Mytilus edulis: one gene and its partner. Each later gene encodes a partner of the first gene's protein in a complex. Links are inferred from orthologs where the notes say so. Each region holds a gene or a part of one and is shown on either strand. Other genes may lie near its edges.

Region 1 (8,002 bases):
TTGGTCAGACAATATACATATGCATGATCTGGTATTTGTGTACTCATTTGGTCAGACAATATACATATGCATGATCTGGTATTTGTGAACTCATTTGGTCAGACAATATACATATGCATGATCTGGTATTTGTGTACTCATTTGGTCAGACAATATACATATGCATGATCTGGTATTTGTGTACTCATTTGGTCAGACAATATACATATGCATGATCTGGTATTTGTGTACTCATTTGGTCTGACAATATACATATGCATGATCTGGTATTTGTGTACTCATTTGGTCTGACAATATACATATGCATGATCTGGTATTTGTGTACTCATTTGGTCTGACAATATACATATGCATGATCTGGTATTTGTGTACTCATTGGGTCTGACAATATACATATGCATGATCTGGTATTTGTGTACTCATTGGGTCTGACAATATACATATGCATGATCTGGTATTTGTGTACTCATTGGGTCTGACAATATACATATGCATGATCTGGTATTTGTGTACTCATTGGGTCAGACAATATACATATGCATGATCTGGTATTTGTGTACTCATTTGGTCTGACAATATACATATGCATGATCTGGTATTTGTGTACTCATTTGGTCTGACAATATACATATGCATGATCTGGTATTTGTGTACTCATTTGGTCTGACAATATACATATGCATGATCTGGTATTTGTGTACTCATTTGGTCTAACAATAATTATATACATATGCATGATCTGGTATTTGTGTACTCATTTGGTCTAACAATATACATATGGTCTGGTTAATTAACACAATGAATGTTGTAAAATTAACATTTGATACTGTATATTTCCTCAGGTATGCCCCTTTTGAGTTGTCATCAAAAAAGGAGAAAATCAAAATGAAAATTTTATTACAACTGCATACACAGGGTGTAACTGAAAAGTAGTTAATAGTTTTAGAAGTTACAGTATTTTGGTTTGTAGTCAAGTTTGTTTGAATTAATGAGCCATAACGAGTGAAGCATTCCCATAGTATGACTTTGATGCAACAAACTGTTTGTCATGCATTTCATGTGATGGTCCAAAAACACATATGGTCTGGAACATATACATGTAAAAGAGATATTCATGATACTGGATATATACTTAGTTATACTACTAACCGTATTTATATAAATATGTTATTTTCTTTGGGACATGGATTTAGCAAATAAATAAGCAATATACTCTTTTCTGTCTCTTTAATACCCACCTTCCATTGTATGATTTGTATACTGTAATGCACTCCACATTAGACTTTTGCAACAGAGATTCTCTCAAAGCACTCTGAAATAATAAGTAAGTTTTTTAGTTTAAAAAAAATCAACAGTCATACATGTGCATGTATATGAAAACAAGACTGCTACTTTTATTTTGGATGTAACCTACTACCAATTCACCAACATTCCAACTGACTCCATTTTCAGAAAACAATATCTGTAACAAACATTAACTTTTAGCTACCCCTTTACAATCAATGAAAGTCCCAACTATGTATTGGCTTCCGAAGCTACACAAAACACCTTACAAATATAAATTTAATTCGTCTACAAGCCATTGTTCCACTATTTAATTATCTATTCTTCTTACCAGTACACTTGGTACAATCAAAAACCTGATAATAAATTGTTCAAATAAGGCCTTCGAAAATAGTGGAATAAATTACTTTTGGAGTGTCAAAAACTCGTTGGAAGTACTTGATAAATTGCATGCTTATATTGGTGATTTTGAATCTGTTCAAAGTTTTGATTTTTCTACCCTATATACCACATTGCCTCACATTCTCATTATGAAAAAATTCACACCCCTAATTAAATGGACATTTAAAAAGTCAGAATGTGACTATATATGTTCACTCTTTTAGGTCATTTTTTAGTAGCAATAAACAAAAAAAACTATGTCAATTGGACATGCTTTGATATTATATCTGCCCTTCAATTTTTATTAGATTTATTAGATCTCTTTGGAGATTCCCTATATCGTCAGGTTATCGTAAATCCAATGGGGACCTGTTTTTGTATTGCTATGAGTCACAATTTATGACAAAAATCAGCAAAGACCCATCGAAACAACATCTGATACACAAATTTAATAATACTTTTAGATATTTGGATGATATTTTGGCTCTCAATAATGACGACTTCAGTATGTATACTAAAGAAATTTATCCTGTTGAACTTACTTAATAAAGCTAATACTAGCAATGACCACTGCCATAAGACATAAGACATAAAGCTTTATTTAGAGTTGGTATAAGCAAGCAATTACAAACATAAGCTCTGAAGAGCTTTTAAAACCGAAAATCCTCGATCTTGATATCTATATCATTAATGAAAAGCTTAATACTAAAATTTATGATAAAAGAGATGATTTCTCATTTCCTATCGTTAATTATCCATTTTTAGATGGTGACATTCCCTTGTCACCATCTTACGGAGTTTATATATCTCAACTTGTATGATTCGCTCGTGTATGTAACAATGTTTTAGATTTTAACAAGAAAAATTTATGTATTACTGAAAAATTATTTATACACCATTTTTCATGTTCTAAAAAATAAGTGATAAAACACTCAAATTCCTATTTGCTGACAACATAAAAGAGAAACAAACAAATAGAACCAATGTTTGTATAACTTTTAGTCTATACTACGTTTATTACATGGCCGAAACGACCAAGACCGAACCGGCTCAATGACAATGGCCGAAACGTCTTGTTTCCCAAAAAAATATGTAGGATTGTTTGAAGAAATTGTTGTTGTCAAATTTTCATTTAAATGAACATGTAAAAATAAGTGTCTTGTTGGTTTAATTCAAGCTCAATTTAAAATTTGAAAAAGTTATCTAAAAGTGATGGAATTACTGTAAATTTTCCCACAGATCCCAGAAAGTTAAATCCGATGGAGGCTGCCATCTTGAAATTTTCCGCAATATTTGATGACGTACTTCACACTTCCGGTCATATTTTGACGTTTCGCTGGCCCACGAAACACCGACTAGTGGTTGGCAATGTGCATACCTTAACTATTTAAGTGGAAATGAATATTTGACAGTCAAGGTCGTTAAAAACTTCCATTTGACAACCAAAAATGATGTAATTTTATATTATATAGATTGTCTTTGCCCTGCAAACCAACACCCCATTCTTAGACTATCTAAAAAAAAGAAGAACAAGACCATATATAGCAGGGCTAATGGCACAACCATAGGCTTTAAACTGAATATGAGGCAGGCATTACCTGTGAATGGGGACGAAGTTTGTTTAAATTATTTTTTTTGTAATTTAAATATTTGTTAAAAAAATATCCTTTACTATGTTTAGTGGACCATGAAATGCGGTAAAATCTCTAATTTGGCATTAAAATTAGAAAGATCATATCATAGGGAACATCTTTACTAAGTTTCGAGTTGGTTTGACTTCAACTTCATAAAAAATTACCTCGACAAAAACTTTAACCTGAAGCGGGACAGACGATCGGACGGACGAACGAACAAGCGGATGAACAAACGGACTAACAAACGGACTAGAAAACATAATTCCCATAAATGGGGCATAAAAATTTATTGTTGAAAGTGAAAACTTTAACCTGAAGCGGGACAGAAGGACGGACGGACAACGAACATGAAAACATAATTCCCATAAATGGGGCATAAAAGTTTATTGTTGAAAGTGAAAGTAGTAATTTGGCCAAAATGAAAGTAGGGTAGAGATTAGAGGGAGGCTGGACTTATTCTGGACGTTTGGATCGGGTGTTTTTAAACTCTGGAATATTATTTTTTTTTAATTTCGGGATGTCAGCTTATGAATTTCGTTAAAATACGCACCTCAGGATTTCATTTTTTTAAAAGCCCGGGACTTCGGGATCAGGGCCCCTCAGACCACCCCTCAAATGAGCCTTAGTCATTTATATGAGATCCAAATCCTACCATTGGCATGTTAATAGGGCTCTCAAAAGGAAAAGCATTGATGGATTGTCCTACAAGCATATTTTATTAGAATAATAATGCATGATCTATAAGCAGTTTCATTTATTTCATGTTTGAAGCGGTGCAAATTTTTAATTTAATTTGACTTTTATAAAAAAAAAAATGCATTGTAGCAAAGGTGAAGAATAATTGTGGTATAATGCCAGAAACACGAAAATTATTGAATTTAACAGAAAGGAAACACATAACAGATTTTGGAAAAAAAGATAGAGGGCTTTTGATACCTTATATGAAATTCTCCAACCATAATAAATTTTACAAAAATTCATCCTACAACAGTTTACAAGCTGTATATGCCCGCGATTTCGCGGGTGTGTTCTAGTATTATAATATTGATTTTGGGTCACTTGTGCACAAAAATGAAATTGAGGTCAAGGTTATATTTTAAATTTTTACTTTTCCTTGTTTTATGATCTCCTCTCTCACTTTTAAGATATAGATACAAGAACTATTGAAAAATGTTGGCCTGATTGTGATGTAGATATGATTCATTTGGTCTGAAACAATCCAATGACATCTTATATGAGTTATTGTCCCTGAAATTATTAAATTTAAGATGAATTGATTATTACTCTAACTTGGTACATGATAAAGCCATACGGTCTTTAACAATCTGTTGGGTGACATATAACCTTGAAAAGTATCACCTGGAGGTAACCTTGAGTAAATTGTAAGTAGCTATTTGTGCACTTATTCCTTTGAAAAGTACCTTAAAACTTTTTTTTTAGATAAGCATACAAAAACCTAATATTTGAGATCAGAAGTGACCTTCAATAAACCAGTACCTTATATCTCCCTTATTACAGGCAAAAGTATATAGAAACTATATATTTTGGGAATCCGTGTGAATAAAGCTATCTTATGAGACTGGAAGTGACATATTTAACCAGAAGTTGATAATTATCTCCCTTGTTTCATGCAAAAATATATAGAAACATATATTTCATGTATTTATTGAATCAGTATGAATAAATCTTTATGCTTGGATGCCAATAGTAACTTTGAGTTAACTAGAAGTAGCTTCTTATTGATAATTTAGAAAAATTGATGTGGAAAGACCACCAATTGTTCTGTGAACAATTGATTTTTAATATAACTTTAGTGAATGTTCTTACATGTGTCATTGATAGGCCATATGTCCTGATTCTTTAAGGTATGGATGATCCACTGGAATCTTCACACATCACTACAGGCCTGGCAGTCCAGGCAGTCCAGGCTTGTAAAATTTCTTTCAAGCATGTAAAAATCATCTCTACAGGCCAACAAAATCTAACTAAATTCTCAAAAAATTGAGATACGAGCCTGCTGATTAAAATATTTATTGTGAAGACTGTGAGTGTGACCACTATTTGAAGTTTTGTCACCAGATGTATAACCTGGTGAATGATTTTGTGTACATGTATTGAATAATGTTTTCTTATTCAGATATGTTTTTATTTACAAAGTTTCTTTTTCTTATGACAGACTTCTTTTTGTGACTTGTAGGTTTGAGAGAGTTCACCTTTAAAAAAAAACCTAGGAGCTTGTATATGTGTGTCATAGTTGAATCACATCAGTTGATGCATGATTGAAGTTTTTCAGGTTATCATGGTCATTTTTTTTCACTGGCTAAGATTCAAGATTTTTAATAATTTGAATCAAGAAAATTCTATCTTTTACCAGCATGCGTACAACCATTTTAGATATCATTAATTGAAAGATATACAGTCATTAAATTTGTGGACATTTGTAAAATTAATTGTATGGTAATTATATATTGATTTTTATCCATATAGAAACAGATGGTAAAAAATCAATGATGTTCAAAATGATATTTCAGTTATTATAATTTAAATATATACATGTAATGTAAAGAAATGATTCAATGTTTTTAACTAGAGCTAGGAGTCGGCTGTTTAAGTGTTTGGAAAATTCCTATTGTATTAGAGCTTGTATTTGTAAAGTAGATGTATGTAAACAAAATTCATGAACAAAATTAAATACTCGCTCTGATTTTGTTTTCACTGACTAAATGGATTGATCATACAAAAAAATACATAACTTTTGCTATATTTGTTTTAGATCAGTGACTCCTCGAGTCACACCACTATCTGTTGGACTACTGAGACAAAAGGGAAGTAACTCTGCATTGTACGAAATGTCTCAAAAATCTGCTATAGTTCCTATGCCAGAATCCTCAAATAAGAAAACAACAGAACTTAAGATTGGATTTTTTGATATATCAGGACAATCGCCAACTATGCAATTCATCCTGCTTACAGCTGCAGTGTTTGTTTTTTATTTGGTATATGGTTATATGCAAGTAAGTTACAAACATTATAACAATATTCCTTTTTGATGATGTACCCATATTTATGATCATTGTGCTTTGATGGTTTTTATACGACTGCAAATTTTGAAAAAATTTTCGTCGTATATTGCTATCACGTTGGCGTCTGCGTCGTCGTCGTCGTCGTCGTCGTCGTCGTCGTCGTCGTCGTCCGGCGTCCGAATACTTTTAGTTTTCGCACTCTAACTTTAGTAAAAGTGAATAGAAATCTATGAAATTTTAACACAAGGTTTATGACCATAAAAGGAAGGTTGGTATTGATTTTGGGAGTTTTGGTCCCAATATTTTAGGAATAAGGGGCCAAAAAGGGCCCAAATAAGCATTTTCTTGGTTTTCGCACCATAACTTTAGTTTAAGTTAATAGAAATCTATGAAATTTTGACACAAGGTTTATGACCACAAAAGAAAGATTGGGATTGATTTTGGGAGTTTTGGTTTCAATAGTTTAGGAATAATAAGGGGCCAATAAAGGGCCCAAATAAGCATTTTTCTTGGTTTTTGCACAATAACCTTAGGTTAAGTAAATGGAAATCTATGAAATTTAAACACAATGTTTATGACCACAAAAGGAAGGTTGGTATTTATTTTGGGAGTTTAGGACCCAACAGATTAGGAATTAGGGGCCAAAAAGGGACCCAAATAAGCATTTTTCTTGGTTTTCGCACTATAATGTTAGTATAAGTAAATACAAATCTATGAAATTTAAACACAAGGCTTATGACCATAAAAGGAAGGTTGGTATTGATTTTGGGAGTTTTGGTCCCAACAGTTTAGGAAAAAGGGGCCCAAAGGGTCCAAAATTAAACTTTGTTTGATTTCATCAAAATTGAATAATTGGGGTTCTTTGATATGCCGAATCTAACTGTATATGTAGATTCTCAACTTTTGGTCCCGTTTTCAAATTGGTCTACATTAAGGTCCAAAGGGTCCAAAATTAAACTTAGTTTGATTTTGACAAAAAATGAATCGGTTGGGTTCTTTGATATGTTGAATCTAAAAATGTACTTAGATTCTTGATTATTGAAGTTTTTTTGGTCCAGTTTTCAAATTGGTCTACATTAAGGTCCAAAGGGTCCAAAATTAAACTTTGTTTGATTTCATCAAAAATTGAATCCTTGGGGTTCTTTTATATGCCAAATCTAACTGTGTATGTAGATTCTTCATTTTTGGTCCTGTTTTCAAATTTCAAATTCTACATTAAAGTCCAAAGGGTCCAAAATTAAACTAAGTTTGATTTTAACAAAAATTGAATTCTTGGGCCTCTTTGATATGCTGAATCTAAACATGTACTTAGATTTTTGATTATGGGCCCAGTTTTCAAGTTGGTCCAAATCAGGATCTAAAATTATTATATTAAGTATTGTGCAATAGCAAGTCTTTTCAATTGCACAGTATTGTGCAATGGCAAGAAATATCTAATTGCACAATATTGTGAAATAGCAATTTTTTTTTTAAATAGAGTTATCTTTCTTTGTCCAGAATAGTAAGCAAGAAATATCCTATTTGTGCAATAGCAAGAATTTTTTTTAATTGGAGTTATCTTTCTTTGTCCAGAATCAACTTAAATCTTTGTTATATACAATATACAATGTATATACACTTTTTACTACCAACTGATAAATTTAAATAATCTTTACCATTCAGTGATAACAAGCAGTTTTT
Region 2 (7,841 bases), on another chromosome or scaffold:
AATATTTTATAGATTCTTGAACAACACAGTTTGACCTCCAAAACTGTGTCTCAGATTTTTCCTATTGTATTTCATTCTCTCATAAATCTACAATGAAATTTGCAACAATAATTCATAAGAGACCACTAAATTCAACTGGGTATAAAATTTGTTCTATTGATGTTTTTGGAAATCTGAGACACAGTTTTGGAGGTCAAGCTGTGTTGTAACAGAATCTGTTAAATAATTTGGGATGCTATGAAGAACAAAGACGCTAAATTCATTCAAGCGTGGACATCACAATATAGCAACTTATTACATAATAATTAATTATGTAATAATTATGTCATAATGAAATTATCACCATTTGAAAGATGAATCTTTCTTCTTTCTTTTGGTACCTCATTTATAATATATAAAGAAGGATTAAATGAATTACATCAGTTTAAAGTTATCCGATTGGGAGTGAACAAATCTTTGTATTGTGCTACCTTAATTAAACATAAGAAAAACAAATTCAAACTGAATTTCAGGAAAAGTCATTTGATTATTGCTTTCGACTATACTTTATATATATGAGTTTAAAATAGGAAATCGGATTTTTCTAACCATTATTACTTTAATATACGACATTAACTTTTAGCAAAAAAACATGCAAGAAAATATCTAAAGTGAAGCTTTTTCAAATCTAGAAAATCTAGTCTTGTACATTCATGCATAGAAAAGTTCAATATAGTAACTGGATTTTTGTTATTTTGCTATCCACATGATCCAATGGCACTGCTCGGTGCTTGTGGTTTACTATTGCTTTTCTCAAGACTTTTTGCCATGTATTGCAACTCTGTCTGTTTTGCCACTTGTCAAATTTCTGCCACTTGTCAAATTTCTGCCACTTGTCAAATTTCAGCCTCTTTGACACTAGTTGTTGTCCTTTTTCACCTGTGGCCAACAGGATATAACTAGTTACTTTAACCATACATGTAAAACATGTGTATTGTTAGACTAGCATGCAAGCATGCAATCTGATTCATTTAACATATTAAGTGGCAAAATCAGGTTTTGAGCCCAATTGCACATTTGTGCAGTGGCATTTTTTCATTTTGGCTTGCATAGCTTTTTGTTGTCATTCTCTTTTGCACTAGCCTTGAAAGAAGGCATCTAGCCACAGAGAAGACTTCTGGTCAATAGAAATGACCTTTGGTCAATAGAAATGACCTTTGGTCATTAGAGAAATGACTGATAGAGAGAAAAAATTCTCTCTAAATTTCTTTCCTTCCAACTTTTCCAGGCAATCTCTGCCAGGAACATGCTCCTCCTCCTTCTCACCTATCATTCAAAGACATCTTAGTGGTACTCTTCAGAACAATCTTAGCTGGAACCGCCATCTTTCTTTAATTATCTGAATAAACTGTTAAGGAAATTAGAAATGACTAGAAGTAAAACATATTTAATTCATACTTGTTTCAGGCAAAAATACAAAAAAATTATGTGTTTGTATATTTGACGCTAGTCGTAGACCTGCCATACATGTTTTTTTTTCATTCTGGTTCTTAAATGAATAGATTGATGCCCAATTTATATAATTCCAAGGCCGTCAGTTGGCATCAGAAGCGACGAAGCAGCGCATCTATTTTGGGTGGGCAAATACCCACTTTTTGATATGGGACGAGCTCTGACGTTGCACGGCCCAAGCTTGTCTGGCAAAACAGCCGTTGGACGTCAGAGTAATCTCGGACTAAAAATTTGTGAACAAAACACTAATTTGACTAAAACCAGTATTTAGATTGGTTGATTTTTGAGTCCAAGTTCTAGAAAGTTTTATGACAGCATAGGCTAGGCTTTTCTTTCATAACACTACTCAGTTTTTTGCCTTGGGAATATAAAATGTGTGCTGGAAACCCCAAATCCATTACTGTTTATTATTCAATCAATCTATGTATCTATTTCTGGAATCCGGGTCCGTTCGCCCTGATACCTGTTCGCCCAGGGTCCATTCGCCCAGATTTTTATTTTTTTCTATTTGTTGTCCAGTCGCATAATTTTAAGTATTTGAACAAAATATGTTAAAGTTTGTTAACAAATTGACAGAATATTTATATTGCCGCAATCATTTTATCATTTTCTCTTTGATTTACAGAGTAGAATTGGTATACATGATGTATTTCTCTTTATTGATATTTGTTAACAAAATAATTGTATTCAGTCAATCATGAATGTATGCAGTATAACTGAGACTAGGACTGTCTCCGAGTATAATAATGAACTTGTAAATCCGTTTCATGATTTACAGTTAGTACATCATTGTGTTTATTAATTTCAAGCTGAATATTTTATCAAAACAAAACGTTTGATTTTTATTAATAATCCATCAAAAGACAAGTATCACAATAATCAGTGATCCGAATTATTTTGTCATTGAACAATTAATGATCCTATACAAGCCATAAACTTTTAAATATTTCCCTGTTTCCATAAATTTCAAGAATATATACCATAGAAATATCTGAATAAGTTTTTTCAACTTCAATGCTCTGAATATCAATATTTTTTAGTAGGGCGAACGGACTCTCTGGGCGAACGAACCCAGGGCGAACGTACCCAGGGCGAACATGTTATTAGGGCGAACAATCCCGATACCCTATTTCTGCACGATAAATGTTTTATTGCCAATGTATCTCTTATGGGTTGATCAACTTCAAACAATTGGGAGTAGTTATAACCCTTTGTGGAGAAAAGGGAGACCGTTTAAAGCCCTATCGTAATTCGATAGGGTTGACAACTTGCACCGACAACTTTTGCCATCGGAGTCGGCTTATTTGATTTTCTTAGTCATGATCAACTTTGTAATCTGTAAAACATGAACCAAAATATGAATTTGTAGATAAGGATACATAATTTTTTGTTAAAATCTGCTAAAGTTTCGAATTGACTTCGATGAATTTGGATGATGATTCTGAATCTGCAAAACATAAAACGTCAACAACCCGATACCGGAAGTTCATAAAATATTAGAACTATTCGGCTCTAAATAATGATAAAAAAAATGTGAAATTGTTTTATTAGACTATTTATGTTCTTACTAAAATATGTTTTTTTAAACAGGAAAATGAAATATAAAATTTTAAAACTCAAAATTTTGGTAAACTGTGATACCGAAGAGAATAGACGAATCAACAAAATACCATAGGGGTGTTTTTAAATGTTCTCATTAGAATTGTTTGAATTTTTCAAAAACTAATAATTTCTGAGATAGATAATAACATTTAAATTTGTATTCGTCAAAATATCAATAAATTGTGTTATTTTGATTCGATTTAATCGCAAAAAATATATCAAAATATTGTGTCACACCAATCTAACTTACCCATAGCAACGGTTGTTTCTAGGCTCAACAACATTCAGTGTGCAGCTCTTGAAGAACTTTGAACATTCCAACAAAATGGTAAGAGTTTTGAAGAAGTCCGAGCAATAATTGAATAAATTTGACATTAGAAATATAGACTTACATCGTATCCTTTACATTTCAAATTGCTGGCACTTTCAAATTCATTATTTACTACCAAAGATAAAGTCAAAGTTGAAAGAATGCCACTCAAAAAGGGTCCATATACCATTATACTTTAGAGTTTTAGGCCAATAAGTGAAGGTTCATTCATGGTTATGGTTAGGTTATGGGATATTTTAGCTCCGGGTTAGGTTTATGGTTAGAGCTATGTGTACTATCCACAATAATATCCAGTTTAAAAATCATGACTTATTCAAACTGAGGTAGACAATGCATACATTATAAAAGTGCAAGGTCCAACGTTGCCTAACGATGATTTTATTCTTTTGTTGCATATTTGGCAACACATGTACAGTTTGTCAGACCTGTCATGAATAAAATTCAACTTATCACTTTTTGTTCGCCATTACAGGACACTGAATTTACTTTGTCTTTGTCATGTTTGTGCTGTCCAATATTTTCCTATGAAATTTTATGTGAACATCTGTGACCATGTCGTTGTTACTGTATATTGTGTGTAGTGTCTAAATTTTGTACAATGGCATGAAGTAAAAAAATAAACGTCTTGCTAGTTTGATAATGTACATGATGTATTGAAATCTAAATGACGTACAACAACTATACTGACGTTACAATTGAGCGGCGCACTAGCCTTTACTGTACATATAGTAAGCAGACTTCACAACACTGAATGACAAGAATAGTTCTACTGTTGGGGATCACAAATAAAGATACAATTCTGGTCTATTACAAATGTTTGCTCAGTCAAGTTTCCGTTAGAATTAGCTATGCGAAGGATTTATAAATGTTCAATATACATGCATATGCTATAATCGTGTTGCAAGGCACATTTTTATCATTCCTTTGCTGTATAAATGGTTTGAATTGTTATGATTGGTATTCACACCAGTGCTGTATTTACACCTTTCAGTCAAAAAAGTTTATGTTTTATGGTTTGTGATCTAGATACATATGGCGCCATTAGTGTAAAAAAAAAAGAGGCAATCTGAATCATAAAGTTTGATTTATTTCATAGCGATGTTTTTTTTCTTTGAATTGAAATAATTAAAAAGTCCTGTTTCTAACAAAGAATGTTTTTAAGACATAATTGTAACCATATACATGTACATGTGCATTACAGATTTAAAAGTTTAACAGTGTAAATAAAGGCAACAGTAGTATACTGCTGTTCAAAACTCATAAATCCATGGACAAAAAACAAAATCGGGGTAACAAACTAAAACCGAGGGAAACACATTAAATATAAGAGGAGAACAACGACATAACACTAAAATGTAACACACATAGACAAAATCCCACGAGAATAACAAATATAACATATATACAGGGTTTAAGCTAGGATTTTGAGGGCTTTAGTCACTTTTGCGCGCTATTAAAATCAACCTTATTTTGTGTATAAGCAATAGAACAATGATGTATAGTACTAGCTTCATCTTTTGACTTAGTCAGATTTTAAGGGATTGAGGCACCAGCATGATTGGCAGTTATTGTATGATTTGACTGTATTGGCTATTATTATGAAAGATTCTGACATGGAATCACAATTTCTCTTCAGTTTATTCCAGGGGTCATTCCTGAACAACAAAAGTTGGATTCTATTTTTTTTAAACAAGGAATCACAGCAGAAATCAATTTGCAATGATTATTTCACTGCATAATCATTATCCTTATAAAACATCTTAGTCGATATTTGGATATCATTTCTATCAAGATGGAAATGTATTATATCCTTTTTGGAACGATTATAATGACTGAAAGGAGGTTGTAAACAAATCAACAATAGATCACGTTTACTACTTTCGGTTTTAAAATGAAACGAAAACGGGAAGTGACACGTGGATAATAAATTCAAAACGAGTCCGGATTCATCAGGAAATTATTATTTTTCGATTTAAATTCCTTTAGTAAGAGATATATATTTGTCTCTCTCGTTTAATTGATTCTAAATGATTTCGTATTTTACGTTTTTAATGTCTATATAGTCAAAAGGATACTTTCACGCATGCGTAGAACACAATACAGGAAGCACCTGTTTAAAACATTTCTCGTGAACTTTTTGAATAAACACATGAAAGTTCTTTATTTTAAATGGAAATTGTTGAAAGTTTTTGATGAAAATTTAAATCAAATATGACGAAAATGCCTTCGAATGACGAATCTACGATAAACTAACTTCAGATTGTGATCGTTTGGGAAATATTGAAATTCAAATGCGAACTGTCCGGCATTGTTACATTTTTGATTAAATGACGAAATTATACTCCTGGTTGTTGAAATGCCGACTGACTGATTTTCCTGGGGAAATAATTATGATGGTCATTCAATTATGGGGTTAATTAATAAATTACGGATAAGTGACCCATCTGAGCGGATTAGTTGTAATCACACCTGTTGAAAATGTTAATTACCTGGAGGTCATAAACTTGTCAAAAACATGAAGACAGGTAGATTTATAGTTTTTATTGCGAATTTTTTTTTACACTTTCAAAATTAAAGTGACGAAATTGATTTGAAATACTTTCGTCAATGAGAAAACCCTTTCGTAAAATACGAAAGTGACGAGCGCTAGCAAAATCACTGCATATATATATATAACATCAAAACCAAATACATGAATTTGGGATAGACAAGTACCGTGACACGTCTTATCGCAATGTGAATTTACACACAAAGATAAGAGAAAACAAACGACACAACGTTATAATGTAATACACACAGAAACGAACTATAATATAACAATGGCCATATTCCTGACTTGGTACAAGGCATTTTTAAAGGAAAAATTGCATCACTTTGAAACAGAATAGAACTTATACGATGCAATATTTTTTGTTTTCTAATGTAATATGAAAAATAAATTGAGCCTGAACTCCTTAGTCATGTTAGTGTAATGCTATGATAAATCTTCATATTTTTTTTTTATTAAAAATCAATTGTTCATATTTCAGACAACTGTTCGGAGACTGACTGCTTCTGAGAGGGAACGGCAGTTACAGAACTACCGTAGGCATGAAGAAGTACGGGAAGACACCATCCGTCAGTTGGGCACCCAGAAGTTGTTGGAGGCAAATATGAGTAATGAAGAAAAACTCTCAGAGAAACGTTACATCAGACGAATGATGATGGAGCAGAAAGAGAGAGATATGGAGGACACAATTCTCAAGGTTTGTGCTAAACTTAGTTGTAATACCTTTTCATAAGAATAACTTTCATTACATTTACATGTTTCCTACAAAAAAAACTACATTTGAAAACAATTATTTAGTAACCTGTTGAAAGGGTTTTGATCGCACGATCTTTTTAACTCACAGACATTATTCATAACAACAAAAAAAGTAATATAAAATTACTTTATGCACATACACAATGTATATTTTATTGAAATGTCAATGCAACTGGTAAAAGCTACTAAGTCTAAAATATAGGGCAGACCATGGCTAGTGGTAAAAATTAAACAAAGCACATACTACATTGGAACCACAGATTATTGAATGATATGAGCAAATCAGTCTGCGCAATCCTGAAAACATTCCACCGTTGATATAAATCAAGAGTTAATATTGCTTTAGGAACAGGGCAAAAAAAGCTGTATTGGCCCATGGGCTCATACAGGACGTTCACTTCCAGTTTCAATTTTTTTACACCTTTAATATGTATTGTTACAAAAAATGTATGAACAAAAACATGTTTAATTTATTTTATATTTTAAAGTTATAGAATAAAAAGTTTTTAAGTCTTGAAAAGGAAATATTTTGATTTACTGACATTGTTTCATATCCATTGATTAATCATCAGAACGCAAAATTGGTAACCAAGAAAATAAAGGAATATACTGTATTTTATTTACATACACATTTTAGGCACAGAGAGATAGATTGATCAGAGAAGAACAAATGTTACAAGAAGAAAGATTGGCTCAGGAAATGGAGAAACACAAATTAGAAGGAATGAGAGATGAAAAAATGAGACAACAAATTAGGGAAACAAGGTACAAATAATTTACAGTGACTTTATAAGCTGTCAATATTCTAGATGTTGACTAAATATTCTTTGGTTGATTATTATACCATTTGGTCAATTATTTTCATTCTCAATTTTAAAGTTTTCATTTTTAATTTCCTGTCTTTCTCTTTGCTCTATTTCTTATATATCAGAAAATTCTTACCTTGCTGAGGCCAAATAAAAATATATGTGTGGTTCCAGTAACCCGACCAACCCTAGTTAAAACCCCCCGACCCAAGAACTTTTTTTTTTCATTTCTGAAAAATAAATTTTCAAACGATCAAATTTTGAGGATTGTGAATTAAAATAATTAAATTCATAGATTTCTGTCATC

The links. Proteins that work in one complex are often made in the same cells at the same time.
Region 2: THO complex subunit 1-like (region 1) and chromatin target of PRMT1 protein-like share a complex: the UniProt entries of both Homo sapiens proteins name them as parts of the transcription/export (TREX) complex. The link is inferred for Mytilus edulis from reciprocal best matches to the Homo sapiens genes THOC1 and CHTOP.

Annotation. Positions count from the first base shown.
Region 1 is NC_092344.1:105,009,063-105,017,064, reverse strand, and holds the start of THO complex subunit 1-like, read right to left. Parts: upstream 3,013-8,002; 5' UTR 2,939-3,012; coding exon 2,888-2,938; intron 1,313-2,887; coding exon 1,239-1,312; intron 1-1,238. Other genes in the region: adenosine 3'-phospho 5'-phosphosulfate transporter 2-like, read left to right, coding at 3,114-3,118, 6,073-6,313. UniProt on the Homo sapiens protein: Component of the THO subcomplex of the TREX complex which is thought to couple mRNA transcription, processing and nuclear export, and which specifically associates with spliced mRNA and not with unspliced pre-mRNA.
Region 2 is NC_092354.1:21,885,719-21,893,559, reverse strand, and holds the start of chromatin target of PRMT1 protein-like, read right to left. Parts: upstream 3,010-7,841; 5' UTR 2,871-3,009; intron 1,379-2,870; 5' UTR 1,365-1,378; coding exon 1,306-1,364; intron 1-1,305. Other genes in the region: meiosis-specific nuclear structural protein 1-like, read left to right, coding at 3,419-3,421, 6,454-6,669, 7,366-7,493. UniProt on the Homo sapiens protein: Plays an important role in the ligand-dependent activation of estrogen receptor target genes. May play a role in the silencing of fetal globin genes.